Linked DNA regions of Oreochromis niloticus. The main gene of each other region encodes a partner of the protein of the gene in region 3 in a complex. Links are inferred from orthologs where the notes say so. Each region holds a gene or a part of one and is shown on either strand. Other genes may lie near its edges.

Region 1 (10,678 bases), on a different chromosome or scaffold from region 3:
TGGATAGGATTGGGAAAAAGGTTTACATTTAATACGTTTATATAAGCACATCAATAAGTTTGCAAGACTGTGGCTCTTAAGCAGTATACAGGACAGGGAACACACACACACAAGGCAAATCAGAAGAGGCCAAATCAGCATGCATACAGATGAAACAACAAAAAGGTTGGATACCTTGCTCATTCATATCCCTGGCTTTATTTTTAAAGGACAGCCTTTAAAAAATCAGTATGATAGAAAAAGTCAACTCACCGCTGATCGTGTGGACTTGTAGGAAACAGTCACCTTCTTGTCTTCTTTCTCGTCTTCACTTTCACTGGATGATACAGCATCTCTCTCCACTTTCTTTGTCTGGACAAAAAACCCAAAACAAAAACAGTCAGAAGACCCTTATGAAGAGAATATCGAGGGAACAGTTTACCCTGCCCGGGATAGGGTTACCGGGGCCCCGCCCTGGAGCCAGGCCCGGGGAGGGTGCCCGAGGGCGAGCGTCTGGTGGCCGGGCCTTAGTCCATGGGGCCCGGCCGGGCACAGCCCGAAGAGGAGACATGGGCCCATCCTCCCGCAGGCCCACCACCCGCAGGAGGCGCCATAGGGGTCGGGTGCATTGTGTGCTGGGCGGCGGCCAGGAGCGGAGGCCCTGGCGGACTGATCCCCGGCTGCCAAGACTGGCAATAGGGACATGGAATGTCACCTCTCTGGTGGGGAAGGAGCCTGAGTTAGTGCGTGAGGTTGAGAGGTACCGGCTAGATATAGTCGGGCTCACCTCTACGCATGGCTTGGGCTCTGGAACCAGTCTCCTGGAGAGGGGCTGGACTCTGTCTCAGTCTGGAGTTGCCGCTGGTGAGAGGCGGCGGGCTGGGGTGGGTATTCTAATATCCCCTCGGCTTGCTGCCGGTACGTTGGGGTTTTTCCCGGTGGATGAGAGGGTTTGTTCCCTGTGCCTTAGGGTCGGGGAACGGGTCCTGACTGTCATCTGCGCTTATGCGCCGAGTGGCAGTTCAGAGTACCCAGCCTTCTTAGAGTCCCTGGGGGGGGTGCTGGAAGGTGCCCCATCTGGAGACTCTGTTGTCCTGCTGGGAGACTTCAATGCTCAAGTGGGTAACAACAGCGAGACCTGGAGGGGCGTGATTGGGAGGAACGGCCTCCCTGATCTGAATCCGAGCGGTGTTTTGTTATTGGACTTCTGTGCAAATCACAGTTTGGCCATAACGAACACCTTGTTCGAACATAAGAGTGTCCATAAGTGCACGTGGCACCAGGACGCTCTAGGCCGCAGGTCGATGATCGATTTTGTAATCGTATCACCAGACCTGCGACCATATGTTCTGGACACTCGGGTAAAGAGAGGGGCTGAGCTGTCAACTGATCACCACCTGGTGGTGAGTTGGATCAGGTGGCGGGGGAGGACGCTGGACAGACCCGGTGCACCTAAACGCGTAGTGAGGGTGTGCTGGGAACGTCTAGCAGAGGCCCCAGTCCGCGAGATCTTCAACGCACACCTCCGGCAGAGCTTCAACAGCATTCCGAGGGAGACTGGGGACATTGAGTCCGAATGGACCATGTTCAGCGTCTCCATCGCCGAAGCTGCTGCATTGAGCTGCGGCCGCAAGGTGGTTGGTGCCTGCCGTGGTGGTAATCCCCGAACCAAATGGTGGACACCAGAGGTGAAGGGAGCCACCAGGCTGAAGAAGGAGTCCTATCAGGCTTGGTTAGCCTGTGGGACTCCGGAGGCAGCCGACAGGTATCGATAGGCCAAGCGGAATGCGGCTCGGGCAGTGGCTGAAGCAAAAACTCGGGTGTGGGAGGAGTTCGGAGAGGCCATGGAAAAAGACTTTCGGACTGCCTCGAAGAGATTCTGGCAAACCGTCAGGCGTCTCAGGAGGGGAAAGCGGTGCTCTACCTGCACTGTGTATAGTGCTGGCGGAGCGCTGCTGACATCGACTGAGAAAATTGTCAGGCGGTGGAAGGAATACTTCGAGGACCTCCTTAATCCCACTGACATGTCTTCCGAGGAGGAAGCAGAGTCTGGGGATGAGGGGAATGACCCGCCAATTTCCGGGGGCGAGGTCACTGAGGCAGTTAAACAACTCCTTGGTGGCAGAGCCCCTGGTGTTGATGAGGTCCGCCCCGAGTTCCTGAAGGCTCTGGACGTTGTAGGGCTGTCCTGGTTGACACGCCTCTACAATGTTGCGTGGAGATCAGGGGCAGTACCCCTGGATTGGCAGACCGGGGTGGTGGTCCCCATCTTTAAGAAGGGAGACCGGAGGGTGTGTTCCAACTACAGGGGGATCACACTCCTCAGCCTCCCTGGGAAAGTCTATGCCAGGGTGCTGGAAAGGAGAGTTCGTCCGCTAGTCGAACCTCGGATACAGGAGGAACAATGCGGTTTTCGTCCTGGTCGCGGAACACTGGACCAGCTCTTTATCCTCTCAAGGATACTTGAGGGTGCATGGGAGTTTGCCCAACCAGTCTACATGTGTTTTGTGGACTTGGAGAAGGCATTCGACCGTGTCCCTCGGGGTGTCCTGTGGGAGGTGTTGCGGGAGTATGGGGTGTCTGGCCCATTGCTACGGGCCATTCGATCCCTATACAACCGTTGCAAGAGTTTGGTTCGCATTGCCGGCAATAAGTCGGACTCGTTCCCGGTGGGTGATGGGCTCCGCCAGGGCTGCCCTTTGTCACCGGTTCTGTTCATAATTTTTATGGACAGGATTTCTAGGCGCAGCCAAGTGGCGGAGGGCTTTCGCTTCGGTGGCCTCAGAATCTCATCTCTGCTTTTTGCGGATGATGTGGTTCTGTTGGCTTCATCAGGTGAAGGCCTTCAGCTCGCACTGGAACGGTTCGCCGCCGAGTGTGAAGCAGCGGGAATGAGGATCAGCACCTCCAAATCTGAGGCCATGGTTCTCAGCCGGAAAAGGGTGGAGTGCCCACTCCGGGTCGGGGATGAGTTCCTGCCCCAAGTGGAGGAGTTCAAGTATCTCGGGGTCTTGTTCGCGAGTGATGGGAGAAGGGAGCCGGAGATCGACAGACGGATTGGTGCTGCGGCTGCAGTGATGCGGACGCTGCACCGGTCCATCGTGGTGAAGAGGGAGCTGAGTGTAAAAGCGAAGCTCTCAATTTACCGGTCGATCTACGTCCCTACCCTCACCTATGGCCACGAGCTGTGGGTAGTGACCGAAAGAACGAGATCGCGGATACAAGCGGCAGAAATGAGCTTCCTCCGAAGGGTGGCTGGCCTCTCCCTTAGAGATAGGGTGAGAAGTTCGGCCATCCGGGAGGGGCTCAGAGTAGAGCTGCTGCTCCTCCACATCGAAAGGAGCCAGTTGAGGTGGTTCGGGCATCTGATAGGGATGCCTTCTGGGGGGCCTCCTGGGTGAGGTGTTCCGGGCATGTCCCACCGGGAGGAGGCCCCGGGGCAGACCCAGGACACGCTGGAGAGATTATATCTCTCGGCTGGCCTGGGAACGCCTTGGTGTTCCCCCGGATAAGCTGGAGGAGGTGGCTGGGGAGAGGGAGGTCTGGACTTCTCTGCTTAGGCTGCTGCCCCCGCGACCCGGCCTCGGATAAAGCGGATGAAGATGGATGGATGGATGGATGGACAAAAACAGTCACCTCTGTCTCATTTGAGGCTACTGTCATAGCAGTCTTGTCTGCAAATGTGTGTTTGCATGATTAGATTTATAAACTTTTTCAAAAATATCAGGTTTGCAAGTGTATAAAACCCTTTGTCCATATTCTAAATGTAAAAAAAAAAAAAAAAAATCTATATATGCATTAACATAACACACTTTTAAATACTTTAGTACTCTTGTGAATCTAAATGCAGATTTAGACTTTTGCAAATCTGACTATGCCAGCTGATTCTGGATACATACTTGCCATTTCCAGTGCACGTTGAGGTACACAGTGATTAAGACAGAAAAACGCAATTTTCGACAAACACATGTTAAAAAATATAAATATACAAAAATTTAAAAAATTTAAAAAAACAACAACCCATAATTACCCTCTGAATCATCGGGTTGATGCGAGTTTTTTTCTTTTCTTTTCTCACTACGAGGGTCTGGTCCTCATCACTGTTTTCATCTGAAAAGGACATGAGTGAGATACATTTGGTGAAAAAAAATCTAGTAACTTGTCTAATAACTGACAGCAGAATTGCAAAATCTTAGAATAATCTCGGAGTTAACTGGGAGGACAAGAAACAGCAGGCGCATATAGCGTTCCAAATTCCGAGGAAACGTAAACGCGGCACGAATGTGAAATTTGTTTATAACAGGAACAAAAATGTATCATCTGCGGTACTTCCTTTACATCGTTTCTCCGATTTTTGGAATCAGATGTAGTATTTTTGCCTCTTACCGTGTTAATAACACAGTGGTTATCTGTAAAGGACTACGAGAACAGAAACAAGTAGTCGATCATTAAAAAGCTCGAGCGCTGTCGACACCGGAAGTTCACTGGGCTTTAAATGATCAGAAAGTGAGTTAAATAACAAACCTTTCTCGCTATCGGTTGCTTTTCTCTTTCGCCCAGAGAATTTCCTATTAGATTTTTTAAACAGAAAAGTACAAGATCCCTCCCGAGGCTTCTCTGATTCCGCCATCTTGACTCTGTTTTGTAAATATCTGCTTTCGCCACAGCACCCTCTAGTGTCTAGGAGTCATCTTAAGTTAGTCCCTGTACTGGTCAAAAGGAGAATCACACCTACTTAGGCATTGTGAAGTTAGATTTAAAAAGGCAGCAGTGATACTTCAGTGAGAAAGTGGCTGCAATTTTTGCGAGCCAGTTAATCAAAAGTTGCTCAATGATATTTACTTATTTCATATTTAAAAATAATTCATGAGAATTTAAGTTATGTCTTGGAAATCGTTATAACTCTATGAAGTGCTGTAAAGTTTTTAGAGCTGTGCCAAAACACATTCGTCTGCCAAAAGGGGAATTTAGATACTTGTCAAAAAGTTTTAATTATTTAAACTGTTTTAAATGACTTGTTGGTCTATAATCTATCAAACATATTGCAAAAGTATCTGACCAGACACAAGGTAGAAGCTGCAGGCAGTAATTGGCTAAGTTACTCTTAGATAGTGACTTCCTTTATTTTTCCAGGTAAAAAGTCTAATTGATATTAAAAAGTCTAATTGGTGTTAAAAAATATCTTTTTATAAACATGTTTGGTCAAAGAGGGCTTTAGAAATTCAGACAAATGTAAAAGAACGGTTCTACAAAAGATATTTTAAGCAGCAAAAAAGGACTGGATTGATTATAATGCAGGACACAGAGTAGCTACAATAACGCTGAGTCGAGATACTTGCAAAAAAGGTAATTTCTTTATTTCATATTTAGCCCTTTGAAAATTCTGTTGACCCCAGCCTATCTACCAATGTAAGCCAAGATATAACACATACAAACACATAAAAACATCAGCAATCACTTTTTTTTTGCCTGACACCGGAAGACTGGAAATTCTAGTATGAATGAATCTGTGATGAAAACTGGAAGATAGTTTTATTTTGAAAGTTTTAACCGGAAGTTGCAGTGATAAATACGTGTAACTTGGTTCTAGTCGCTTAGATCCCGTCCTCCTCCTCTTCCAGCAGCGACTGTAGCAGCATCCGTGACTCCCCGCAGAGGACGGCGGGTGTTTGTAGGACTCAGGGCCCACGGAGGGAGAGGTCCTGGCCTGGGCACGAATCCCGAAGAGGCCCGGGGCCGCCGCTGGATGGAGTCGGGCTGTATTCAGACAGCAATGGCTATGGGTCTGACATCGAAAAAGGCGTCTGCTCGGAGCGTCTGCGTGGAGCGAAAAAACCTCATCACGGTCTGCAGGTATACATCACGACACCATCGACGTGCCGTATTTATCAGAAGGAGCCTGTCCTTGCAAGCTGTTCGGGTTATATTTTCACCAGTATGATCATGATCAAGGTTTGTTTTTTTTCCATCCAAGAAGCCCACCCCTGCGCTCATTCCCAAAGTGAAACAATGGCAGCAATATAAATGGAAAATATTACAGAAAAAAGGGCCACATTTCTAGAAAGGCGAGGGTTAAGGAGGGGGCAGGTGCGTGTTCACCTTCACGTACCTTCTGTCATCACACCCAGTTTGATAGAGACAGTAGACTTAAAGAAACCACTCAATTATCCAGTGTTTGTTTTTAAATGCTCGTTTACTGCTTGCGGGGCTTCTTTTTCTTTCTTTTTTTGCTATGATGTAAATCTATTAATTCTGTCTGTCGTTTAAAAGTACAGTCCCCTGCGTGTTTGTTTCTATAGCAGGAAATGCAGCTTCAAGTGATTCAAGTGATGAGTGTTGCAAAATCAATTGCAGAATAGGGATGAAGGGAAGATAAGCCAGTCAGCAGCAGGTCTCCTCCTCCATCATGGTGAGCTTCAGTGCCTGAATTGGACAAGGGCATTTGGGGCAGTGCAAGGACTCCTCCCCACATCAGGGGCCCTCCATCCTTCTCCATCCACCATCCACGCACTACAGAGATGGCCTCTGACTGATTGGCTCTAATAAATCACTGTCTTCTGCAGTGAGGTTAGCACTGTAAATGTGTGAGCTGACAGCTCACACAACGAGAGCTCTTCAGCTGCACAGTAAGTCCAGTTTTATACAATAATGTAACACCCTCCTGGTTCCAGTCTGCACATTATTACATCACGTGTGATATTTAGAGCTTTAACAGCTTCCATCCTTTTTGACCAGAGGCTCTAATTTGCATGCTTCCACATGAGACCAATGTTTATATTCATATAGAAACAATAAATATAGAAAGACTATTAAAAATAGCCCAGAAATCTTTTTTTTCTTTTCTCTTTTCTCAGCACTTCATGACCTCCTTGCATTAATTTTGTAACCTTTCAAATTAGGCATCCCTGATGTAAAAGGGACTCTGCTCATTTCACTGAAGGCTAATTAACTTTTCGACCGTGTTATCACAAGTTCTCAGAGGCCTAGGTGCTTTTTTCTCAAACGTCTTTTGCACAAATAATCATCACATCCCAAAGATAGAAAACCTAATACTGTATACATCTAGAAAAATGCCACAAATATCCACATCTCAGGTGGTTTTTTTGCCTTAAAATAACTTGAACTACCCATTTTGTAAAAAATGCTGCTGATTATTTTCCTTTGTCTGACATAACTAGGTTATAGTGACCTTATCCTACTTTAGAGTATTTGATAATTATGTGATATCCACAGACTGGCAGGAAAATGCTGCTTTGATCATGTTGTTGTGTTCTCATAAAATTTATTATAGTACTACTCCTCATCTTGAATTGCAAATTGACTATAATCATAAAAAGCGTTCACAAAAGTGGCATCCAGCGTCTAAGCTCTGCTGTATTTCTTGTAATTTATTGCACCGTAGTGCTAGAAACCACCAATCAAAACAGAAAGGGACTCCAACATGGATTCACAGTCAAGCATTTTTATTCCAGTACCTTTATATCCAAGGTCCTGCCTGCGTTTTAGTGGCATGTACAGTGAGGCAAAAACACACAACATCACAGAGAGCATGCCTGCAAAGAAAGAAAACTTCTCACAGTGGACACAGACAAGGATTAGCAGGGACACAAAAACACCTTTGTTTTCAGTTTCTCCTGGCTGTGCTAAGACAGATTTAATCATTTAAGCGTTTTAAAGACAAACAAACTGGACAAGACAGAAATAAATCTCAAACAGCTTTCCACCAGTAATGCTGACTACAACAACTTTTCTCCATTTTCTAATGAACAACATGACATTGATTAGGTTCACTTCGAGGGCAGTTTCTTCTTGGCGTGTCCGAGTTGCTGCCCGATCTCCCCGCTCATGGTGTTTTGGATCTTTACATGTTGTTCAGGTCAGAGCTGATTCACAGGCTGCTCGCTGATCGGATAATGAGGAGAGAGCCTGAATCAGCACCGTCCCTCTGGCTGTGCATTAGTGCAGGCAGGGCATCGTGTTGCACGATCCGGGATCCAGGCTCTGTCGCGGTTGTTGAGATGCAGCCATTCCCACAGCTGAGTTTGTGACATTAGTGCTTGATTAGTTCACCAGGCCAAGCTATTATTTACCCTAAGTGTGTTTGTGTGCATTTACTGCATATATAAAGTCTGCCCTCTTTTTTTTTTCTTACTGCAACATCATACATGTTTAACATACAGTCAGCACACGCAGAGATTAACATTTCTACTCCCAACAATTCCTTTAATGTGTTGGCATCAAAGTCCCGGTTAAAAGTGTGTACAGTTGATCTGGTATGATGTGGGTCACGAGTACCAGCCACAGAAATCTGACTGATCTTTGCTCGGTGTTTCAGTGTCATACCTAACAGACCAATCCTATTTTAATGAGACGTGCTGTATCTACAGAGAAAAGAATGGACAAAAAAAGAATAACAACAGAGAAAAATAATAAGAGATGGCTATTCTAAATAGTAAGTAAGAAGAATGCTCCTTCTTTTTAGGTTAGGGGGACTTTTGAATTGCCAGACATCCCAAAAAGTATCTGAAAACCCAAAAATCTTTTTAGGGCCACGTTGAGACTTGATATTTATGACATCCACAGTGGTATCAGTATCATACTGAGCTGGACTGTTGTCAGTAGCAACAGGGTTCATCTAAATGTGGCTTTTTGCAGCAAGTGGAGGACATTCGTGCAACTCTCGGATTAACGTTGTTTATCTGAGCTCAGTTTGACAAAACGTTTGGGGATCAGAGGAAGCAAACCAACCAGCTTGTGTTGGTTTGTTTTTAAGGGCGCTTTCCATCCATTAATGTTTAAAATTGAATGTTTTGCTGCTTTTTTTAGTCTGGCTAAGAGCTCTCTTGCTGCGGTCCGTGACAGGAGAAACGGTGCTGCTGTGGACATGGTGAACCTGAGAAAAAAATAGATAAGATGAGTGAGACAAGTCTGATGTAAAGAGGTATCCATGCAGCCGCTTCCTGTAAACAAAGAGAGCTGGGAGAGAGGCAAGAAGGGAGGGCGATGTGCTGCATGTTGGCTGAGCTCTGAGGCCTTCCGGGGCGTGGCTCAAGAGAAGAGAATAAAATGTTCTGGACTGTAGTAAAGCACGCCTGTTAGACGTGCTTCGGCAAGAGAGTCAACGAATATTTGAAGCTGCGTGTGCAGATGGAGTAACACTAATTTTAATCGTTCAGCTTCTGTGCAGCCTTCTTTTGCATTTTTCCTGATTTCTGAACCTACGCTTTTTTCTTTCTTTTTTTTTTTTACCAACACCATCAAGTATTTGAAATTACAGCAGAAATGTCTAAAAGTTTGGCTGAACACTTGGATGCCACTCATCAGCTGATCTGTCTACCCCTCTCACTGTTAACTTCTCCTGTTATTCCTCATTTTTACCCCTCTGTCATACTCAAATATCTGATTCACACTCTCGGTGCTTCTGTGCTCAACACCCTCACTGTCCGTCGTACGCCGTGATCCCTCTACACCTCCTCTGACCATGAAACACTTCCTGGACACTTGGTCACAGAGGGGATCGGTGAAAGAGAGACACACCCTGCTGTAGTTGTTTTTTTTGTGTGTGGTTTTTGTTTTACTTTTTTTTTGTCATTGAGGATTTGGCCCAAATTGTGATTTGAAATATTCTTCAGAGCACAAAGCCTTTTCTTTCTCATGCCAGTCCAGTGCAGGACGCCTCCCCCGACAGTCCACGATGATAAACAGCACTGGCTGGCGTTGTGCAATGCTTCGGCCAGTGAGGAGTTCACCTGTGTCATCTGATCCTGCTGGTTATGCCAAGGCTAGAAGACAGAGACAGAAATAAGAAGACAGAGAAAGAGAAAGTAGTCAGGGAAATGCTTGTGAGGGAAAAGAAACAAAAATGAAAGTCAAGAGAGTTAATGTGAAGCTTTGTGTGTTTAGGTTAGATGTCTTCGCTGATGAATGCAGTTTTGGTTATCCCGTGTCGTGCTGCGGATCAAACGCAAGTTTGTAAGTACAGTAGAGGGGTGAGAAAGGAGAACAAGAGGGCATTTAACAAGAGCTGAGAGTGGGCTTGGCATTGATCCAGGCTGAGAGGTTGCACAAAAGAAGCTTGTCAGAAGGCCCTGCAGTTGTTTTTCAGTGTCAAATCGTACCAAGAACATGTTGCTATTCCACTCCATCCATTTGCATTTGAAGCATGCCAGAGATTCCCTTTAGATCAAAGGACTTCAGTTCATTTACAATCATCTGCTATAATGTTCCTGTTAAGATAACGTTGCTCTCGCATTATTAGGTCAAACAGGATTTTTGCAGTTGTTGATATTTTGTTGTTATGATTTTAATTGCTGTAACTTTTGCTAATGAGAAGCTGTTACATGTTGGTTCGTATACTGAGCGCCCAGACCCACTGCTTGGGTTTCCATGGCATCTAGGCTCTGCACAGTGAGAAAAGATTTGATGTGATGCATTTTTCTGACTTGGAAGCATCACAAAGAGGGATTGTACTGTGAATCTGATTTACTGTTCACTCATTATCTCAAATTTCAGACAGATTAGTACATTTCTAATTTTCTTCCTGAAGGGATCCCATCAGGAAGAGAACTTCCTGGTGGGATCCCTTTAGACAACATCAGGTAGTATGAAGCCGATTATTTTGTGAAGCTGTCACCCCCGGTCCCAACACACAATATTTGTGCTTATTTGGCAATACCCACCAAGTGGATTTTTTTTATTT
Region 2 (10,978 bases), on a different chromosome or scaffold from region 3:
AGCATCCCGGCCTGCAGTTACCTTAGGCCGCCGGGCAGCCGCCTGGTTCACCCGCTCCACTACCGACTGCAAAGCCTTGGCAACTTCCTCCGACATCGCTACTTTCCACATTCTGTTAAAACAGCTATGACACAGAACGTAAAGAAACGCGTCCGCACTGACGACACTCGGCTTTCAAAATAAAAGTCCACCTGAACGTGAAGTCAGTCGTCCGGAGTGCGCCCCCTGTCGACCCGCCGTCAGCATTTGGCAATTACGGAACTGAAACCCGAGTGAGAATTCCATTCAGGCTTCAGGCCAGGTATTTAACGTCCAGGAGAAAAAACTTTTTAAAGTCATATTTAGGAATAAGGTCAGCAAAATTGTCTTTTCCGGGTTTTTCTAGATGCAGTTTTTATGTGCTGCTGACATATAAAGGACAACAGTATCCAGAGGCATTTGTAGGCTGCTGCAGTCTGGGAGACTTGCTACTGAAAAGGAATGACATGTTTTTGTGTATGTACATACAACAAAAAGTTTTATTTCGATCATGTCCTGCATTAGAAACACGTCTAAAACAATACACCCACTTTATATATTTGTCATCACTTTATTTTAAATAACAAAATTGGATGAGCATAATTTTAGTCATTTCTTCATGTAGTCTTTAGTAGTTCTCTTAAAGGAGATGTTTACTGCTTTTTGTTCCATTCTCTGTCACCATGACCTGTTTCGCTTCCTTAAGGATGACTTGTTGACAGCCACCCTTCCACTCAGACCACTTCTAACGAGTCTTTGGTGAACAGTAAATGGGTCAGTAAAGGGCCTGTACCAGATCTCTGCTGGATTTTTCTCGTATTTCTTAAGGACATGACATTCAGATACAGTTTGCCTGCTGTAGCATTTTAGGCCTGCCACTCCTTTAATCCTTCACTTGTTTGTTTTTCCCCCCAAATTTTTAAGCACACACTTGACACAATCTTATGTCAAATATTCAGTTAACAGCTCTTTGGGAATCACGTCATTGGTGAAAAAAAACACTCTTACATCTGTTAGGCTATTATCTTTGTAGATTCTGAAGCAGCAGGAAGAAATTAAATTTTTTTTTTTAAAGGTAGTGACTAAGTGCATACCTAAATTCAAGATGGATTTGGTTTTCTCCTCTCTTTTTTTAAAAGCAGGCAGGTATAAATGAGCTCAGCAGCAGCCAATCTCCAAAGAAAAACTTTTAGCTTTTGAAGAGCTTCAGAAGGCCTAGAGAACTACTTAAAAACCACTTAAAATTTCCAAGAAAATCTGTCTCTTAGTGTGGAAAATGAGAAGAAATAAGGGGGTTGCACAGTATTTTATATCAGTCCAGCTGGACTCTTTTTTTTTTTTTTTTTGTTGCGCCGACCTCCAGTCACAATTTAATCCAGTGGAGAGAGTCTCTGTGGAAGTGTATAAGACACTCAGGAAACATTACCATCATATTTAGTGTGCAGCTTCTTCTGCCTGTTGCTATAGTAACACGTTGACAGTAACAGAACAGTAACTTGTATTGTGGTAATGTGATATAAACTGAATGCAGAAAACCAATTACAAAGAAAACTGATTTATTCACAAGGTCACACATTTTAAAAGTCCAAACAAAAAGACCGTATCTATCATCTCACAATTCAAATACAAATGCTTTGTCTCTTTACTGAGGAACAAGAAAGGGACAATAATGTAAAAAAACAAAACAAAAAAACAAAATGTAGGGATCATTTTCTTCAGGTGCCTCCTCCACTCTCATACTCTCTCCAAGGCCTCGAGCATGATGATGCTGTTTCCCCTGATGACCTGTGAGAAACAATACCACACAGAGTAAACACACTGCCATCATGACAAATGTCCTAAAGGTTTTAAATAAAGCACTGAGCTCTCCAAATCTAAACAGAATTTAGTATCTTGTTTATAGAAGGTAAAGCAAACCGCTTTTCTTGACATTTTAAACCTAAATTATACTGAACAGCTGAGCACTCATTCCTGTTGTTTGTAGTTCATGGGCTGGGGAGAATGTTTACTTAGTGCATTATAAAGTAAGTAAACATTACAAAAAGCAGGCAGGCACAAACTGCCCTAACCATCTCATGATGAAATTTATATCAGTGGGACCTGAGTGGACCCTACTGGACTCGGTGACGGTATAATTCCTGCTTCAAACACAGAATGATTTTGAAATAAATGAAAATGATTTCGTGGAGCAAACAGCAGCAGATGCAGGTATAACTAATAAATAATGTATGGTCTGTGTACACAATTCCACAAGTGTGCTATCGTGCAGTCCACCAAACAGCCCCAACAGCATGTCACTGGATGTTGATGACACATGTGTCGGTCAATAGCTCATTGGTTGACAAGTGGGCCAGAACAGGGGAGGGCGCGATTGTGGAGTTCAGCGGGAAATGGTATGACACAAATATGAAAGGGAAAAAAATACAGCATGAAAAGTACAGAGTGTGACTGCAGTGGACACTTTTCGTTGTTTTTGAAAACACTGTTCACTTCAACTTGAGAACAATTGAGAACTTTATACTTGGAACAACAACAGCACATGCAAGTGTGGCCCACACACAGGTTGTAATACATATTTGTTACACTCCATCAACAACAAACACTCTCTGCAGGCAGACTGTGATTGCCCAGGAACTGCGTTCATGCTACTACTGCTCAAGTATAAAACAAGCATAACAATCTGACGCTGTTCAGGTCATGGTTAATGTTACAAAGGACGAAATACTAATAGCACATGATATGCAACCAAAATGTACAGAAATGACTCCACCAATTCTCTTTGCAAATGGTGGATGGAAATTACTAACATGATGGAAAAGCAGAGCTTTAATCAGGCACAAAATATTTATTTTATTTTGTGACGATTGTGCAGATTTCTTTTTTTGCTTTTTTTTTTTTTTTTGCTGAAACAGAGTGTGACAAAAATGCAAAGGTTTCATGTGCAAAATATAAATTTTATTAATATAAATGGCCTGTATTTGTATAGCGCTTTACTTAGTCCCTATGGACCCCAAAGCGCTTTACACTACATTCAGTCATCCACCCATTCACACACTGGTGATGGCAAGCTACATTGTAGCCACAGCTGCCCTGGGGCGCACTGACAGAGGCGAGGCTGCTGGACACTGGCGCCACCAGGCCCTCTGACCACCACCAGTAGGCAACGGGTGAAGTGTCTTGCCCAAGGACACAATGACCGAGACTGCCGGAGCCGGGGCTCGAACCGGCAACCTTCCGATTACAAGACGAACTGCCAACTCTTGAGCTATGATCGCCCCCTACCAGGAAAGATTGGGCTGTTAATGAGAGCTCTTTACTGTGTGTTTAGACTGTGGCAAATATGAAGTCTGACACCATCATAACCAGAACTCTCTGGTAAATATACGGGCTGTAGTTGAGAGGAGAGCAGACTGCTGGAAGATAAAAATTGCTGTGCTTATATTAGGCGCACAAATTTTCTTTGGTGACAATACCAAAAATTAAGAAAGACAAATTTACTGACCACCATGCCAATGGTGTTCTGCTGTCCTCCAGGGCCCATCTCCAGACAGTCATCCACCACCAGGTTCATAAAAGGGTCGAACCCACGCAGGATGCCCTGTACGTGTCTGCCTCCATTCAACTTTACTGAAAGGAGAGAAAAGAAATCAATATGAAGAATTTCACAAACTGCTCAGTTTATTTATTTTTGGGACTGATCCATCTTCAAACTCAAAGTTTAGATTGCCCACATACTACCACGAATATTTACATACAGCAAAGTAAGACATCCATATATTTATGCTATCACATAACCTAACTTTTGAGTCCACATCTGTGAAAGGTACTTGACTTACCCAGTGTTGTAACCGAGGGTTACAACAAGCTTAATTTCAAACTTTTAAAGACCATAAAGACATCTCACAATTATAGTATACTGTCAATGAAAGTCAGTAGGGATGATAAGACCTGTGCAAGTTATACAATATATCAACATCTGCATTTCTAGCAGTACTTCCCAGCAACACAACACGCTGCGCGTATTAAAATAAATGTCCCCCCATGTGTGCTGCCTGCACTACATGTCTACCCTTTGTTATGAGATCCTGTACAAACAGTGAGCAGAGGTCATCGAAGAAGGCTTTGTGTACCAGGTGAAAACTGAAAGGTAATTACTGAAATTATTCAATAACTATGTTTTGATATTTCATGCTGTTGCTTAAAAACAACGAAACACAGGAACAGATTCACTCTTAACATTCTGGGTGCTTTTGAATCTGTGCTTGGAGTCATACTCACATGAAAGCTTCTTGTCCATGAACCTGGAAAAGAAAACCATCAGCATCGGTTACATGGTCACAGTTTCTTCACAAGTCGGTCTGGCAGCCTAGCTAATGTTAGCTTGTGGCTATTACAAACAATGTACCAGAGCTGCTATGCGGGAAACAAGAAACAGGTACAAAATAACCAGTGCGCGTTTATTTATCAAAGATCACTGACTTACTTCTTCAGCTCGGGTGGGTGTGCTTTGCTCATTTTATCTGTATTTTCTGAAAGTCGAAGAACTCGTTCGCACTCTTTTCGTTTCACGAAACCGCGGAAGGAAAGCGTGCGCCGACAACCGGAACTTCATTGGTGAACTCTCATACTGGACCTTCTGCTTTTTCCTCACAGCGCCGCCATGAGAACAGGAGGAAGGAGAGCCGGCTAGCTTTGAATTATATATATTAGTGGAAGAAATATTCAAATCATTTATTTAAATGCAAATATGTTGTGTATTCAGAGATGCTGTTCTGCATACCTTGGTTGTAACAAGTGGTAATTTGAGTTACTGTTACAGTCTGGCCTGATGAAGCACGACAACAAAGCATTTTCACCCAGAGAATTTTTTTTTTTCACTTACTGGATGTTTTCTCTTTTTTAGACCATTCTTTGTAAAACCTCGTTTATGGGTGGGTGAGGAAAATCCAGTGGATGAGCAGTTGTTTTGGTTTTTTTGCTATAAGACCAGGGGACCGTTCTTCGTACCTCGCTAAGTAAGTTAGCCGGATTTGATTGTTGACGATTTCGCGTGATCTTGGATCGTTCGGTTCTCCGAAGCTCATCTGGGACTTGCTGTCATAGCAACAGATCCGTAAGCGTAAACCTGCTCGGGAGCAGGTTTACTTTATGTAAACAGGATTAGATCGCGGCCACTCAGGTATGTCCGCTGCATGTACACGAAAGCAACAGCGATATTTCACCACTGTTTCTCCATAAATAAATATTATCAATGTAACTAAAGATAATGCAGTAGTTGATTCTTTTACTGATTGCATACAGATACATACAGGTCATTTCCTAAGAAAAAGGGAAATGTACTAGTAATCATTCTATTACACGTATTTGATTATTTCAGATGTAATTCGTATTTTAGAGTAGTAATAGTAAATTACTTCGTGTAATCAAGATGAGAGACCACGGCTATAAAAGCGAAGGTGGATTTGGGAAGTCTGTCGCAGCCATGTCCTGTCTGTTTGTACGCGAGCAACCCATTGCGGAAGGTGCAAGATTGATAAGGAGAGTTTCCAGAATTCAGCGTATATTGCGGGATTGACAGGATCCGTCCTGTCCTTCCTCTCTCTCTCTCTCTCTCTCTCCCTATATACATATGTATACATATATGTATACATATATGTATATGTATATGTATATATATATATATATATATATATATATATGTATACATATGTATACATATATGTGTATATATATATATATATATATATATATGTGTATATATATATATACACACACACACACACACACACACACACACACACACGAGGGGGTGCAGGACCACCACCTGTCTTTATTTGCTCTGCCCTTTTCTTGGTTGCTGTTATAAACAAACAAACAGATTATTTCAGGGTCTCTTTTCAAGAGACTAAAAGCAATATAAGTGATAACTATTACCATTCTGTAGAATATTCTTATATTTCACTTTTACTTGTCCCCATGTTCTAGTGGGTCCTGTTGTGGCTCTAATGTGAAAGAGGATATAATGTAATATGATATAATAAATTATTTACGAGTTTAATTTGTCAGCAACTTTCTGCCAGCCCTCTCTCCTTGCTTTTGCAGCCTTTGCGGTGTTCCCTTGCGTTTTAATTAAACTCTGAAACTCCTGATATCCCTCAATCAAGAGTTCTTGCTCTGCTGCCGTAAAATACTGAGCGCGCGCCTTCGACATCTTCGCCGACCAATCAAAGGGTTGCCGATCAATGTTTCTACTATCGATGCGTAGCCCCTTTTGAGACACCCAGTGATCTCGCATTACTTCATCCAGCTATACTGATCGTCAACAACAGGTGTGTTCGGAGAACCGGATTAGCGAGCTCAAGGTTAGCGCGATGATTTGATCTTGGATGTGTCATTTGATCTTGGATGTAGTAAGCGAGGTACGAAGAACGGGCCCCAGGTGGGCCCAATGAGAACTATTATTTGTTGACAAACACAATGGGATATCCACTATCCATACCAAAGATCTAACTATGTGTTTGGCTATTATTTGAGGTTCAGCTGCTGGTGTAGTTTTTGTTTGAAAAAAACTACACCAGCTTTGTGTGAAAAAGTTTTTGTAACTTTAAAATTAATAGTTAGTTATGCCAATAATTAATATGAATTCATTGTCAAAGCTAACAACCGAATAAACAGTATATTTACTGCACATTTAATAATTTGAGGAAAATCATATTAGTGTAATTTATTGTTTTAATAATGAATCCAGTGTACATTATTGCATTTTATAACACTATTTTATTGTTCCTGCTTTAAGAGAAATGTGTAAGATTCATGGCCATTAGTTGTTACACTGTTGACTATGTTCAGAATACAAATGGAAGAGCTTTTAGCTGCGACCTGCAACTTCAATAATAATTTATATTATCTGAACCTAGAAACTAGCTAAAAGTCATTAAAAATAAATGTACATACATTTCCTCTTGCTAATTTCAACAGTTACCCATTAACTCTGCTGTATAGCTGCGGTAGAGCACGCAGTCAGTTTGAAACTGCGGTTTAGCTGCTCTGGAACAAACTTCTCAGATCCACAGTATGAAAAACTTCAATTAAATCACTAAAATTTCACAGAATCAGAACAGCAGCAGTGATGCAAAGAAAACATCTGACAACTGTTAAATTTTATTTGTCATCTGCAAAGAGCCATACACACCAATTTACAAAAGACCTCAGCAAAGTAGAAACTTCGAAACCTAGAAACATATCTTCTACATGTTCACAGTCGCATTTTGAAAACAGTAGTTGAAAATACTTTAGAAAAACAAAACAAAAAATTCATGTTGATTTAAGTTCATTCACCAAAGCGCACTTATTGAGCATCGCAGACACACTGAAGGGCTGCCGTCAGTCCATCTGTTTGCATAGTTAGAAAATACGACCCGAGCTCATGCAAGCTAAAAAGCAGGGCCATTATGAAAGGCATTGTTTTGGGTAAAGTTATCCATGAAAGCCAAGTTTGCTCACTGTATAGTTTACTGCAATCTTTCTTCCATGATAAAAATATTGGGAAACAGCATGTAAACAAACAATGTTACACACTACAATCTCATGCAGACCCTGGGACTGCATTTTATCTCTCGAGCAAAGAAATAAACTTCCACCCAGTGCTCTAAGTAGTGCTGCTAACACTCAGGTTTGACACACAAGACTGACAACACGACAAAATCAGACACCACAATCGATGAATAATTATTGCCAAATTTGTAAGAAAATACAGCAGAAAACATAACAAAAACTAGACAAGTAGCAAACAATTTGTCAGGCAGTGTTCTGGCCAGAATGTACCACAGTTGAGCAGACGGCCTAATTTCTCAAAAGAACAAAAAAAAACAAAAAAACAAAACAAACCCTGAGGCAAAGATAAGCTTAGCCCCACTTTGAGCATGCGAGCTAATCCCAACGTGTTTTTGGAAAATGGGGTTGATTTGAAATGAACAGCCCAAACTCTAAGCACTGCGAAGGTTATCCAAGGTCCAGGAACCTTTACACAGCTGATCTTCACCGTAGTAACAGCCATTTTCAGCTGCTCCCTTCTCACAAGGGATCGCCACAGTGGGTGACTCCACATGTTTGACTGGCAGAGTTTTATGCTCTTTTTATGGCCTCCCTAACACAACCCCAAAGGGGTTTTGTGTATCTGGCTGGAATTAAACCAGCCCAGTTGTTGCCAAGTGGTGAGACTATCTTCCAGGATCATAAGCTACCATTCTTAATTAAAAAAAAAAAAAGCAGACAATTTGTGGAATTTACCTAGTCTTTACAAGTTTTTATATCACAGAGTTGTATAAAAGTGGATACACAGACAACCACTGGTCTGAAAGAGGGATTCCTGGGTATAAAGGTTTGAATACTTTGAGTGGATCAAATGAATCATAATCAAACTGTTCTGGCTTCTATAGTTTTCAATGTATTAGAGTGAAAATTTGCAGACAACAACAGTCCTTCACAGTAAAAATGTTAGCTTTATGTTCAATTTCATATCATCAATATTGCCGTAATAAAGCCGAGGCTCATCTTAAAGGCTGCTGCTAAACACATATTCTGTGTATTTCTTCTTTGTTGCATTTCACTACAATGAAACTTATTAATGCATAGCTGCTCTGCAAGACGCATCTGAGAAGATGTCCTGTTCTCAGATGTACAAACACTGATTAAACCTCCCTTTAAAGGCTGATGTGATGGATCTTAGACAAACTGATATTCACACTGTGCTTTTCAATGTGTCTTGCAGGAGAAAATAAAATTCATGTTAAAGGGCTAAATAAAAGCTCAATAAGACATTCTTTTTAACTGTTGATATGGTTTGGATAACAAAGCCCGAGCTTGGGTACAAAAGCAACATATTCTGAATGCTCAATCAGTGAACTCGTGACTCAACAAGAATTTCACAGAGATTTCATCACTCCTCTTTGTGTAACCCTTCAAGGCAAAAAGGCGGGTTGCTGACGACATTCACACTGACACGTCAGGCTTTGCCGGCTTGATGCGTGTAGCCCTCTGTCAAGCTGTCCTCCTCCACCCTGACTCGCAGGTGCTCTTGACAGTGTTCTAGGAAAGAGTCAAGTGCAGAGAACCCCTGCTGGCAGGGCACGCAGTGGTACAGCCTCTGCCTCCTGGAGCCTGGCCATTTGCACGTGTCCATCTCGGTGGTGCACACGCTGCACTGTCTCCTCTTCATGGAGGTTTGGTGGAGCTCCATGTGCTCCTTCAGCTGTTGCTGCAGAGAGAAAACCTCTGCACAGGAGGGGCACGGGAAATCTCTCTCCACCTCCTCCTCCTGAGCTTCAGGCACTTCTGTGGATCTCCCTGAAACACCTATCTTGGTCAACCGTCGAGTGACTTTCCTGGGTCTCCCTGGGCCAGCCCTGACTGTCTTAATCTCAGCGAGGCTGGTTTTGGCTTTATTTGGTCTGTTTTCTGATAGTTTGGAGGAGTCTTTGGTGGTACATCCTATAGTCTTGCTTTTGTTTTTGATAGCCGCCAAGCTCAAGGCTGTATGCTGTCTGTAGTGTGCCCTAAGCGATAAATGGTGGACAAAGACTTTTCCGCAGACCTGACAGGGATACGTGCCTGCTTTCCTCCGCTTGATGACAACTGGCCTCGGCTCTCTCCTGACATTCTTCTCTCTACTGTGCTTTTCTTTTCTGTGCACGTACAGTTTAGAGGTGCTCCTGAAAACCATGTCACAGGAGCGGCAGCTCAGCAGCTTTTTTTGAGATTTTGAACTCTTGCTTGGCTCCTCATTTACCTTAGCACTCCTTCTTTTCCTCACTTCCCCATCGGTGGCCTTTTGCTCATCCTCTGAGTGGTTGGCCTGTTTATGGCGTTGCAGTGCAGCCTCTGAGTGGAAGATTCTTGAGCAGAGTTGGCACGTGTTGATAGCTTGGCCACTGGGCCCTGGAGTATCTGAAGAATCAGAGCGAATGGAATCCCCCTCAGAAACAGGTGAAGAGTCATCAGGGAGTGTGCTGGCATCAGCTATATCAGACAGGGATGGCAGCTCATTGCAGCCGGCCTGTTGGTGCTGCAGCAGAGCCTGCTTCTGGCTGAAACCTCTCCCACATGGGGCACACGCATATGGGCTGCGGTCCATGTGATGAGGCTGGCGGTGAAGTGGCTTGTCCAGCGACCTGCCAGGATCAGAAGTGTGAGTCGTGCATGTAGAGCAGGGGGAACCAAAAAGTGACATCCCATGACAAAGCTCGCAGCGGGTGGACTCGCACTTGTGTAGCTGTAAGGATGACCTCAGGGAGAACTCCTGGCCACACGAAGGGCACCGGTGAGGCTTGGGCAGTGTGTGTTCAACTTCCTGGTGTTGTAACAGATCTGTGGCATAAGGAAAGGCGTTACCACATTCTTGACACAGATAGGTGGGCTGCTGGGGCGGACGCTGCCTCTGGGTTCGTGTGTGCTGTTTTGTCTCTGCCTTTGCGATAAAGGTGGCAAGCCTTGACAGAGTGTCTGCGGCTGAGCTGGAGCGACCGAATGACTCCTGGGACCTTGCAGTGCTCCAGCTGACTCCATCCATCCTCCTTCACCAAGCTTTCTCCTGGCTTTAATGGAGACACAAGAGGTTTGAGCAGCTAGCCTTTAATTCACTCAGACACAAGAGCTAAAAGGTTGAGGCACTGAGAAGTGTTTTGGTTGTACGCTAAATGGCACCACGCCTGCAGTCAACAGCTAGCCAAGCTCTGATAGGATGAGGGGAAACGTGCCTTCTTTTTAACTTGTTCCTCTTTTTTTGTTGACATTCTGAATTACTGGTCGCTAGGTTTTATTCTTCTATTCTATTTGGACAACACAGACTGAGACCATAGGTATCAGTTTAGTGATAAGTCTGAGCTTCTACCACAGTAAACCTTACAACAACAGAGATGCGACCACGGGATAGCTTCGTGTTTGCTAAGATTAGCTCGCTGCT
Region 3 (10,571 bases):
CTGAGACTTGCATACCTGGAAGCTGCCGGTCCTCTTGTCATATTTGATGAGGCTGTTCTTGTCCAGGATGTTGGCTGCTGTGTGCACCAAGTCCATCCTGCGCCGCTCCAGCAGGGGGTCTGTACTTCGGTCGTCGTGAGAAACACCATACAGGGTGGGGTTGCGAAGCATGCGCACATAGAGATACGTGTAGCCAAGCCAGTTCACAGCATCCTAATGGCAAATTTGAGAAATCGAAACTTAAAGAAACGAGGAAAATTTGATCCTTCTGTCTTAAATAGCTGCATGTACATTTCAGGTCACTAACCTTTACATTCTGCACATTTCCCAGTACTATCTCTGCATTGAGCATGTCAGCCAGCTTGCCCACCATCTGACTCTCAATGGGCAGCTGCTGGTTCAGCAGGGACAGATAATACTGCAGCTCTCCGTGGGACGTGATCAGGATTCCCTCTCCTTTGGTGTCATACTGAGGACGGCCAGCTCGACCAAGCATCTGGAATCAAACACATTTTCAATAAATAGAGTTAGTAAAGCTACAAACTAAAGCAGACCTTACTATGTTTGGTAACAAGAAAGGATGGGCTGACCTGTAAAATGTCCAGGGCACCCAGTTCAGTCCATCTGCCTTTCTCTGGGCTGTACACTTGTGTCCCTTTGATGATGACAGTATGTGCAGGCAAATTGACACCCCAAGCCAAAGTAGCTGTAGACACCAGAACCTGGATGTGTCGATCGGCAAACAAATCCTCCACCAGCGTACGGTCGACTCTGGTCATACCAGCGTGGTGGATTGCAAAGCCGTATGGGAGCAAATCCTTCAGCTCTAGGTTCTGCATAAGAAGGTTAAATTTAGCATTCAGTTGTGGTATTAAAAGCATTTACCACACAAGAGTTTTAAAAAATGTTTCCAGTTTAATGACATTTGCTCACCTTGCACTGCTCCGCCTCAGTTCTCAACACTTCAGTAGATGCAGAACCCTCTCGGAGGAAAAGACCCAGAGTGTCCTTCTCCAGGCACATGTCCCTTATGGCCCTGGCAGTTTTCCCAGTCTCCTTCCTGGAATGGACAAACACTAGAACCTGTTGGGAGGAAAAAAGTAAGGCTTTCAGATTTGGTAACGCAGTGCTGTAGATTTTTCAGAGAAACAACACTGAAGTAAGAAGTTACATTCAAAAACTCAGCCCTGTGAGTTCCCTGTGTATAAACACACAAGAGCACGTACACACTGGAAAGGTCTGCATGGACACAGGGTTGACAGGAGGCCCGGGTTTAGAGGGACCTCGACCCTCCAGCTCTGGGAGCCACAGAGGAGAGTTACAGAGAGTAGTAACCTGCAGGTTTATCTATGGAAACCTGGACATTTATTTCCTCTTGATATTTTGTTGGGCTTCGCCTCTTTCCTTTATGTTGATATTAACAGTGAGTGAACTGTCGCTTTTTAGGGATCAAATTATAACATAAGCCACATAGTAACAACAATGAAAGCAGCACAATGTCAAATATCTTGTTTTTCACTGGAGGGCAAAAATGATAAAAAACCAATAACAGGAGTTGTGGTTTTCTTGCAGAAGAGGATTATATGATCGAGGCGAAGTGCAGACTGTGACTGAGAAAACAGTGTTAGGAGTCCCCGGTTTCAAAAATCTCATTTTGTGCTTATCCAGCAAAAATACATAAATAAATAAATGAATAGGAAAAAAAAATAGAAGAGGTGTCTAATTAAAATGTCATTAGCATTTACACAGCTCAGCTGGCAGTAAAACATATTTTAGCAGACACATCTTAGATAACGCTAGGCTAATTCAGGTCACCGAATTATATCACTTTGGAAGAACAAGTCAAACAGGACTCACCTGGTTCTTTCCAGCATGCTCCATAATCTTTTCATAGACAATCTCATTCATGATCTGGAAACGCTTGATGGCCTTCTTCTCTGTGATACCAACATAAGTCTGCTCCAGGGGCACGGGACGGAAACTACAGAGAAAAGCCGTACAGCAATAAGCAATAAGGAAGAGCAAACAAACAGCTGTTCATAGAAATCATCATAAAAACGTCTTTTTTTTTTGCTTAAGCAGCACACCTGTTGTCAAAGTAGAAGAGCCCTTTGGCAGGATCAACACGCAGGCAGGTAGCCACGTCTTCATAGTTTGGCAGTGTGGCACTGAGGCCCAGCAGGCGCACATCCTCCTGGGTCAGCTCCACGTTGCGGATGGTCCTCGCCACCAGAGATTCCAGCACAGGACCACGGTCATCGTGCAACAGATGGATTTCATCCTGAACACCCACATTAAATTATTCATCATTAAAAGTCAAGTCAACTGGCACATTTGCTTTTTAGTGACAAAACTGTGCACTTACTATGATAATGAGGCGCACTAGCTGGGTGTAGGTACGTTCACCACCTTTACGAGTGATGATGTCCCATTTCTCTGGGGTGCAGACAATGATCTGAGTGGCGTTAATCTCCTCTTTACAGAGCTGGTGGTCTCCCGTCAGCTCGGACACTATGATGCCATAACTTGCCAAACGCTGGGAAAAGGAGGAAAAAGGTTTTCAGATTTGTGCTCCCTGATGGTTGTCAAGTATGCAAAGAAAGCTGTGCAGGACAGACGAGGCTCACCTTACTAAAACTTCCCACCATCTCCTGTACTAGAGAGCGCATGGGGGCTATGTAGATGATTTTGAAGTCGTCCACATTAATTGTTCCATCAATGTTGATGTGCTTTCCAATTTCTCTCAGCATTGCCATCAGAGCGACATTGGTCTTACCGGCTCCCTGTGTGCACAACAAACACAAACTCATAAGAGAAAATCCAGCTGGGGGAAAGTATTGAAATGCTTTCTGGCTTTAACAAAGCGTGCTCACCGTTGGAGCACACACTAGCAGGTTCTCATCTGTCTCCATGGTGGTCTTGAACAGCTTGCTCTGAATGCGATTCAGGGTTTTAAAGCCTTCAAATCCAGCCTGGGCGTACTTGGGCAACTTCTCAATGGGAACAAGTACCTGATGACACAAAATAGTGCTGACTGTAGGACCTGAACACAGTTATATGCTACTTATTACTATTATTTTTTCCTTAGCTGCTGCACATTTGGACAATTAAAATGTTCCCATGAAGAAACATAACTGACAAACCTCATCTTCAGCAAAGGGTTTAGGTTTGAGGGCAGGTACGTGGACTTCTTCATAGCCCTTGCGCTGTTTACGAAAAGAGCCGTCTGGCAGCTGGCAACGCTTGTTGGCCATGAAATGGCTCCCCTGACTGAAAGCCAGGTCGTCAAGGTCTAGCAGCTGTCGAGGGGTCACTGACTGTCAGACAGAAAGGACAATTTTCCTATGCAGTTTAGAAATGTGTAAAAGAAAACTCACAACAAGTAGTGTTCCTGACAGGATGATTTGTAGTTAATATATTGAAAGTGTTATATACCTCTCCATGGTCTATGTCCATTGCTTCCAAGTCATCGACACGGGACTTCCTCACTCTCTCCCTGCGAGACCGCTCTTCCTAAAGGACGTAAAAATAAATAATGTGACAAACTGAGCCTCACAAAGAGTTCACATAATCTCACAATCAAGCCTCCTTACTCGAATAATATCCTCCTTCTCCGTCTCTTGCAACTGGTAGAGAATCTTTGACAGCTCCTGATCAGACTCCATCTTTCCTATGATGCGCTCCTTTTCCGCCTCACTCTGAGCACTTGCCAGCATGGTACAGTACTGAACTGTGTGTCAAGGGAGAAGAGAAAGAAATCAGTACCTTTTCAAAGACATTAGCTCTGTAACAGTTTCACTCAACAAAGCAGACTTACTCATGCGACGATGCTGACGCAGGATTTTAATGAAATCAAAGGTGTTAAAGCCGAGGAGCAACACCAGCTGGTTCTCACACTCTCTGTCGTCGCTGGCAGTCTGTAAAATAAGAGACGAGAGAATGATGTTGACAAATACAAACTTACCTGCTCTAAACAAACAAAAACACAGGGAACGTCACAAACCTACCTTGAGGATTTCTAAGACCTCATCTGCCTTTTTTTGTGAGACGATGGCGTCATCATAGAACCGGCTGAGCTGACGCTGGAGCCAAAAGGCGTCGATGTCTCGAGGATGTAAATCTTTTTTCTTCACTGTCATCACGTCACCCGCACCACCGAGCTAAGTGAAAGGTAATTTATTAGTTACTGTGCAGCACAGTTGCAATATCTCACAAAGACTAAACACAAATATGGGCTTAATAGAGTAATGCCACGAATGGAAACTTACATTAGCTGAGAGAGTGGAATCCACAGCTGCCTCCACTCCTTCACTGTCTTCATCGGAGTGTTCATCTCGTACCTCGCCATACTGGTCTTCATCAACTTCCTGTATGTTAAGACAGGAAAAGTCAGTGACACAAACTAATCAATCAGCTCAGCTGTAAATCTTAAGAGCTACAAGCCTCACCTCCTCATCAGACTCAAACTGAACATTGACACCATACGTTTCATCAATGTTGTCATCTGTGGATAAAAAATACCACACATAATGAATATTTTTAGAGAAAACTGATGGATCCTGTACAGTTTTCATTCAACAGTTACTCTGAATGTGCCTACCCATATTCTGCAAGTCTTTGTCCCCCCCATAGTCTGTGATCTTTTTGCCCAGATTGACTAAGACGTGGTAGCGCGTGTCATCAGCAGGTCCGAGAAGCTGCTCTACTTCCCGTCGCCTCTCTTTGTCTCTCATTTTGTCATTCTTGAGCACAGCCAGAACTTCATCAGCTGCTCCACAGAGAATATCACGCGGCTGTAAAAACGTAATGAGATAATGAGTAAAACATGCAAGATGTAGCGGAAACAGAAGCAGAATACTTCAAGAAAGCAGCTGTTGTGGCGTTCACTGACCTGATCTCCCAAAGCAGCATGGATGAAGCTCAGTAACACCTCATATGTTTCTCTGGTCTCTTTGGTTTTTGGTTTGTACACAATGCCCACCATCTCATCAATGCCTTCAGACAGAAGGGTAAAGCCCTTCATTTTGTTAATGTCGTGTCTGTCTTCATCCCTTTTTCTTCTCCTGGATAAAAAATAAAAAAAAATAAAAGATGATATGTTAACAGTAGAGCCATGTTTGGCCATTTGAGTGGCAAACATCTTCCAAGGCATGTCACATATGTTCACTTTTTCTTTTTTTCTTGAGAATTGCCTTGAAGAGACATCAAACTTGACAGCTGTTCTTCCCCATACTTTTATTTTCAGTTTTTCAAAATTAAGTTATCACGTGGAACTAATGAAGTGATTTTTAATACCGGATTATTTTGTTCTTTTTTTAAATCAACCGGTTTTGCCTTCAAACCATAGATTCGACGAGTTAAAGCCTATATTTCTCAGAGAGTTGGGGCCACACTGACATGACAGCATCGCACAGTAGCTGCAGATTTGACAACTGCACGTCATCCATAATGCAAATCTCCTGTTCCTCCACATCCCAGAGGTGCTCTATTGGACTGACATGTTTAAGAAACCAGTTTAAGACTATTTGAGCTTTGTGACATAGTGCGTTATCCTGCTATAAACAGCTGTCAGATGAGGGGTACACTGGAATCATAATGGGATGCTTAAACAAAAAGATCCCCTACACTATTAGACCACCAGCAGTCTATCCTGCCTTCTTGCATTCATGTTGCTTATCCCAAATACTACCATCCATTTATGTTGTGCATTCAGAGATGCTTTTCTGCATACTCAGACATGATCAAAGTCAACCCACCTTTCTTGTTCATTCTGATATGCAGATTGACCATGCCTAAATGCTTAAATGCACTGAGTTGCTGGCATGTAATTAGCTATTGCACATTTGCATTAATGACAAGGGGAACAGGAACATCAGAGTGGCCGGTAGTGTATATAAATTATGTATTGCTTTAAGTTCACATGAACAATATATGTAGCTGTCTGCACTGACTTTTCTCGTCTCTCCTCCAGCCTCTGAGGTTTGGTCCTCTGGGCCTTGTCACCCATCTTGGTCCCCTCCAGCTTCCCGACCAAGGACAACACCTCACCGGTGGGCTCATCTCTCCGGGTGCGGTCGATCAGAGAGCGATCGGCTTGAAGCACCAAGTTAGAGTTCTAAGAGTTCGGCATAAAAACAGTGTGATGATGAGACAGTACATCAGTCTGCGCTGCAACAGGCTGAAGTAAATGCTAGTTAGCAGTACGGCTAGCTAAACAAGGATAAATATCAATTAATAACAGTACACACCAAACACTTTTCCTGATAACTTTACAGAATAACAATCCCTGCCTCTGATTTTTTATTTTTTTGTCTCACTCTAAACACACTCACCGCTTTGTACTCGTACTGCAAGCTTCGAGCAGTAACATCCGCCATGGTGCTGGTTTTCCCTCAGGTTTTAGCGCACTTTGTGAAACGGCTAACTGACTGTTAATATCCACAGAGTCGACCTCACTCTGCCTGCTTAAAGAGACGCTGTGAACATGAGTGCACTGATTACACTTGTAGCATTAGCCAGTTTTCGAAAAGTCCGAGTTTCATACAACAAAATGCGTTTCGCATACGTTACAATAGCGCCGCTAACACGAGCGCACAACAAGCCGCGCTTTTCCTCTTCCGCTGTCAAAGGTCAGAGCAGGATCATCGATGCAAAGGAGCAGCGCCCCCTACAGGTTGGATTTATTTAGTTTCAATGTCCTATTGTTATGTCAATGTATTCATGGGTATATAAACTTATGTAAACTCGCCAAATCTCCTCTGCTAGCGGCTTATTCTGCTACTGACTCTTTTTTTTAGCTTCTGGTACCCCAGAATCAGGTGTTGACAATTAGACCCTGATTAGCAGCACCTGTGAGCATGGACCCTGTTACAGCGGTCAGTTGGTGTCTGCTCCAAGCATGGCACATTTGACTGATCTGGATAGGGCCTGTGCCATAGAGCAACTTTAAGCTGGTGTCCCAGTTGTAGCATTATCTGGAGTGAGCCCTTGTACCATCTCCAAATTGAAGGCCAAGTTCCATATAATGGAGCATGTCAGAGACAGGCAAAGAAATGGGCATCTGAAGAAGACAACGGCACAAGACAATTTTGTTGTAGCACTTAGGAACTGTTGGCGCTATTCTTTAGATTTGCAGTCATGGTTTGCAGGACAATATGGTTGACAACACTTTACCCAGAAAATCAGAAGACAGGCAATCTCTGGTCTCATAGTGCTGCCAGGAGGATGCCATGACTGCCCTTCACCGTCAGGCCTGTTGTCAGCGACACGTGGAGGAATGTTCTCTTCAGCGATGAGTCCAGATTCTGCCTATGCCACTTGGATCATAAATTTAAAGAGAATGCTATGCTCATTTCTGCACCATAGCGTAACAGACCTATCATCATAGAGGCAATCATCATAGAGATATTAAGATGAGATTACGCAACCAGTGGCAATCCCATATCTCCACAGTCTGGGATCAAACTCTATCCTCCAAGATGACAACCCATGCCATTATCAGAGATTGCCTCGAGAATTTGGGAGTGGAGAGGATGGAATGGCCTGCCTGCAGTCCTGATATCAGCCCCATTGAACACTTGTGGGATCAGCTTTGGGTGCTCTCTTCATGCCAAAATGACCAACACAACCACAATCGCCTAACTTGCAACAGATGCTGGTTGAAGAATGAGACACCATCCCACAACAGAGTACATTGTTTGGCACTGGCGGAGAAGATTTGGCAAGTTTTTCATGGGTGCAACCCACATGCTCAACTCTGATGCTCAACCCACAAATACATTTTCCTTACAAATGTGGCACCATTTAAGGAGAAATAAACAGGCCTTCTACTGATATGAGTTATTGCTAAGACGCATTGTAACAACAAAGAGACAAACACACTTTTTGTGCTAACTTCATTATATTGTCTATCATGCTTACATTATGTAAAATTGGAATAATTTCATAAGAACAACAAAACTTGCCATCCTGTAGTGTCTTCAGGACTTACACAGCAGCCATGTAGTGTTAATACTACTAAAAATAATGCCCCTGTCACTATCACTACTAAAACTAAAAGTAATTATTATTATTATTACTGCTATTGTGTATCAGATACAGTATGCTGATTTACCATAGTAGACATCTGTACCATCACTTGCACAGTATAGTACTACTTAATGTAATAGCCCATTGATAAATACCATACTACTGTACATGCTGAAAGTCTGCATAAAGTTATCTGTGGAATCACTATACCAGCCAAACTTAGCTGTAGACCAATCTGCAGATGAGACACTTTCCTGTGGCACTGGCTGATGTTTATTTGTTTGGTCACATCAATTTGGCAGTGGCTAAGTGTTCAATGACAGTGACAAGGAGCCAACAGACTTTTAAACAGACAAGGCAGTTTTATTAAATTAAAACTTCTTTGTTTCCCTGGCACAAAATAGGGGAAAGGAAATTATAAAAAAAATGTGATTGATTCATATCAGTATTTGCTTTCACTAAATTGTTTCTTTAAACATCATAGATTACATATATTATAGATCCAGGATTGGGACATCTCTAGTCCTGTGTGTTATGCTGTATTTCATTTTTATTCACAGAGGGCAACACAGCGTGTAGCTCCACAAATAGGGGGCAAGTGAGGGTGGCTGTGGTTCAGGAATTAGAGCAGGGCAACTGCCGGATCGATTCCCTGCCTCCTCCAGTCTGCATGTCAAAGCATCCTTGGGCAAGATACTGAACCCTGAGTTCCCCCTTATGCATCCATCAGAGAGCAAGTGTGTGAACAAATTTCACAATGGATAAGTCCATGTTTGATTTGGGATTTGTGTCTACTTCTCATCTAAAAAAATTGAAAACGAAGCTACAACAAAAATTAGAGACTGTTCATAAATGAACAAACTTACAAATTCAGGAGAGGATCACATAATTATTTCCCCCATGTACATTATCTTCTAAGCTGCATGACGAGCTGATGCAAGATAAAGCTTTGAACCCCACACAGGAGACACCACTGTAAAGAGTGGGGTTAAAGTGTGGATGTCCTTTGGGTTCACTCCACTCTAAAGAGTAGTCGTTCTGCACCTTGGGGCGGTGGCTTAAGAGTTGGGAGTTCGCCTTGTAATCGGAAGGTTGCCGGTTCGAGCCCTGGCTTGGACAGTCTCGGTCGTTGTGTCGTTGGGCAAGACACTTCACCCGTTGCCTACTGGTGGTGGTCAGAGGGCCCGGTGGCGCCAGTGTCCGGCAGCCTCGCCTCTGTCAGTGCGCCCCAGGGTGGCTGTGGCTACAATGCAGCTTGCCATCACCAGTGTGTGCGCGAATGGGTGGATGACTGGTTGTGTAAAGCGCTATACAAATACAGGCCATTTTACCATTTACCTTGAACAGTGTGAGATCAATTATTTCTTGGTGTAAATAAACGTCAGATTTATGAAGTGCAAAAAGAAGCATGTACAAGAACTTTTCTTCAGGAACTCATATGTTAGTCTTTGACTGTCATTTTGATCTAAATTAAAATTGCTAAATGAGAAAGATGAGCCTCATTGTGGACAATATAAGCTGCACTGTGAACTCTATGATTAGCAGCGTGGGCCACAGTCTGTGAGCTACAACATCCAAAATTTAATATTTAAAAATATAAAAAAATTACAATTCCGTGTAGGTATGACAATGATTAATGAAGAGCTGTCCAGGTTGGATTTTCAGGTACCTCTGAGGTTATTATCATCCCACATAACATTTTTTTCCATCAACCACCAATATTCTTCTAAAATCTGTTTTTATACATGACATACATGCATTTTAACTGTACAGCCACATATTTGTAAAGCTTTTAGTGCCCTAATACAATTTTTTTTAAACACACTGTTCAGTTTTTGATGAAAAAAAATAAGCTGTTTTTTTAAAAGATTCTCTCTTCTTTTTTTTTTTGCTGATTTCACTACTTTTCCCTGAAGCACTTGACTCATTTGCCAATAAAAGCATTTATTCAACTGTTATGTACATGTTAGTCATAAACATGTGTTTTGGTATGATGTAATAATGGTGTGTGATTCATATCGGGTAAACGAGTGCTTTGAAAATGTGTGGTAAATGGGTTGCACTTACACAGCTCTCACACCCAGATGGCAGCAGTGAGAGCAGTTGTCTTTCTCCACGACACGTTGACTTGTCAGACAACTCTATCACAGTCCCCTCAAACACCTAAGTTCCCAATATATGTATATCATTTTGCTGTGTATGAGAATATTCCACAGTTATGGATGTAAAAAGGGTAGTGAGTGGATGTCTCATATGTGCTTATGTGTCCATTCAATGTAAGTTGTTATCTTGACCCAACACGAGCTGCAAGGATCAAACAGGATTTATTGTAGAAAGTGTGTGAAAAGAAAAGGAGTAAGATGAACTTGACTTTAGTTTCACTGTTGTTGTTTTTTACTGGAAAGTACTTTGGTCAACCATGTTGTTTTTAAAGTGCTCTATAAATAAAGTTGGATTGGATTGTTGTCTTTAAAGAGGAGAGTACTGTATGTTCCTGTTTGTGGCCCCATATAACTTCCATTGCCTTTGCACATCTGGCTACA

The links.
Region 1: snrnp200 (region 3) and rnf113a share a complex: the UniProt entries of both Homo sapiens proteins name them as parts of the minor spliceosome. The link is inferred for Oreochromis niloticus from reciprocal best matches to the Homo sapiens genes SNRNP200 and RNF113A.
Region 2: snrnp200 (region 3) and snrpg share a complex: the UniProt entries of both Homo sapiens proteins name them as parts of the U4/U6-U5 tri-snRNP complex. The link is inferred for Oreochromis niloticus from reciprocal best matches to the Homo sapiens genes SNRNP200 and SNRPG.

What each region holds. Positions count from the first base shown.
Region 1 is NC_031969.2:28,810,507-28,821,184, reverse strand, and holds the start of rnf113a (E3 ubiquitin-protein ligase RNF113A), read right to left. Parts: upstream 4,662-10,678; 5' UTR 4,610-4,661; coding exon 4,504-4,609; intron 4,090-4,503; coding exon 4,010-4,089; intron 352-4,009; coding exon 253-351; intron 1-252. Other genes in the region: rundc3aa (RUN domain-containing protein 3A), read left to right, coding at 5,726-5,832. UniProt on the Homo sapiens protein: Required for pre-mRNA splicing as component of the spliceosome. As a component of the minor spliceosome, involved in the splicing of U12-type introns in pre-mRNAs. E3 ubiquitin-protein ligase that catalyzes the transfer of ubiquitin onto target proteins.
Region 2 is NC_031984.2:33,151,054-33,162,031, reverse strand, and holds snrpg (small nuclear ribonucleoprotein G), read right to left. Parts: upstream 4,662-10,978; 5' UTR 4,534-4,661; coding exon 4,502-4,533; intron 4,320-4,501; coding exon 4,297-4,319; intron 3,646-4,296; coding exon 3,521-3,645; intron 1,804-3,520; coding exon 1,753-1,803; 3' UTR 1,558-1,752; downstream 1-1,557. Other genes in the region: plpbp (pyridoxal phosphate homeostasis protein), read right to left, coding at 22-111; si:ch211-148l7.4 (zinc finger protein 43), read right to left, coding at 9,023-10,585. UniProt on the Homo sapiens protein: Plays a role in pre-mRNA splicing as a core component of the spliceosomal U1, U2, U4 and U5 small nuclear ribonucleoproteins (snRNPs), the building blocks of the spliceosome.
Region 3 is NC_031977.2:12,273,230-12,283,800, reverse strand, and holds the start of snrnp200 (U5 small nuclear ribonucleoprotein 200 kDa helicase), read right to left. Parts: upstream 6,378-10,571; coding exon 6,333-6,377; intron 6,116-6,332; coding exon 5,952-6,115; intron 5,064-5,951; coding exon 4,892-5,063; intron 4,794-4,891; coding exon 4,601-4,793; intron 4,505-4,600; coding exon 4,449-4,504; intron 4,368-4,448; coding exon 4,269-4,367; intron 4,161-4,268; coding exon 4,008-4,160; intron 3,918-4,007; coding exon 3,818-3,917; intron 3,731-3,817; coding exon 3,594-3,730; intron 3,514-3,593; coding exon 3,436-3,513; intron 3,318-3,435; coding exon 3,144-3,317; intron 3,012-3,143; coding exon 2,874-3,011; intron 2,784-2,873; coding exon 2,628-2,783; intron 2,537-2,627; coding exon 2,366-2,536; intron 2,282-2,365; coding exon 2,088-2,281; intron 1,982-2,087; coding exon 1,858-1,981; intron 1,084-1,857; coding exon 934-1,083; intron 834-933; coding exon 591-833; intron 497-590; coding exon 308-496; intron 214-307; coding exon 16-213; and 1 more. UniProt on the Homo sapiens protein: Catalyzes the ATP-dependent unwinding of U4/U6 RNA duplices, an essential step in the assembly of a catalytically active spliceosome. Plays a role in pre-mRNA splicing as a core component of precatalytic, catalytic and postcatalytic spliceosomal complexes.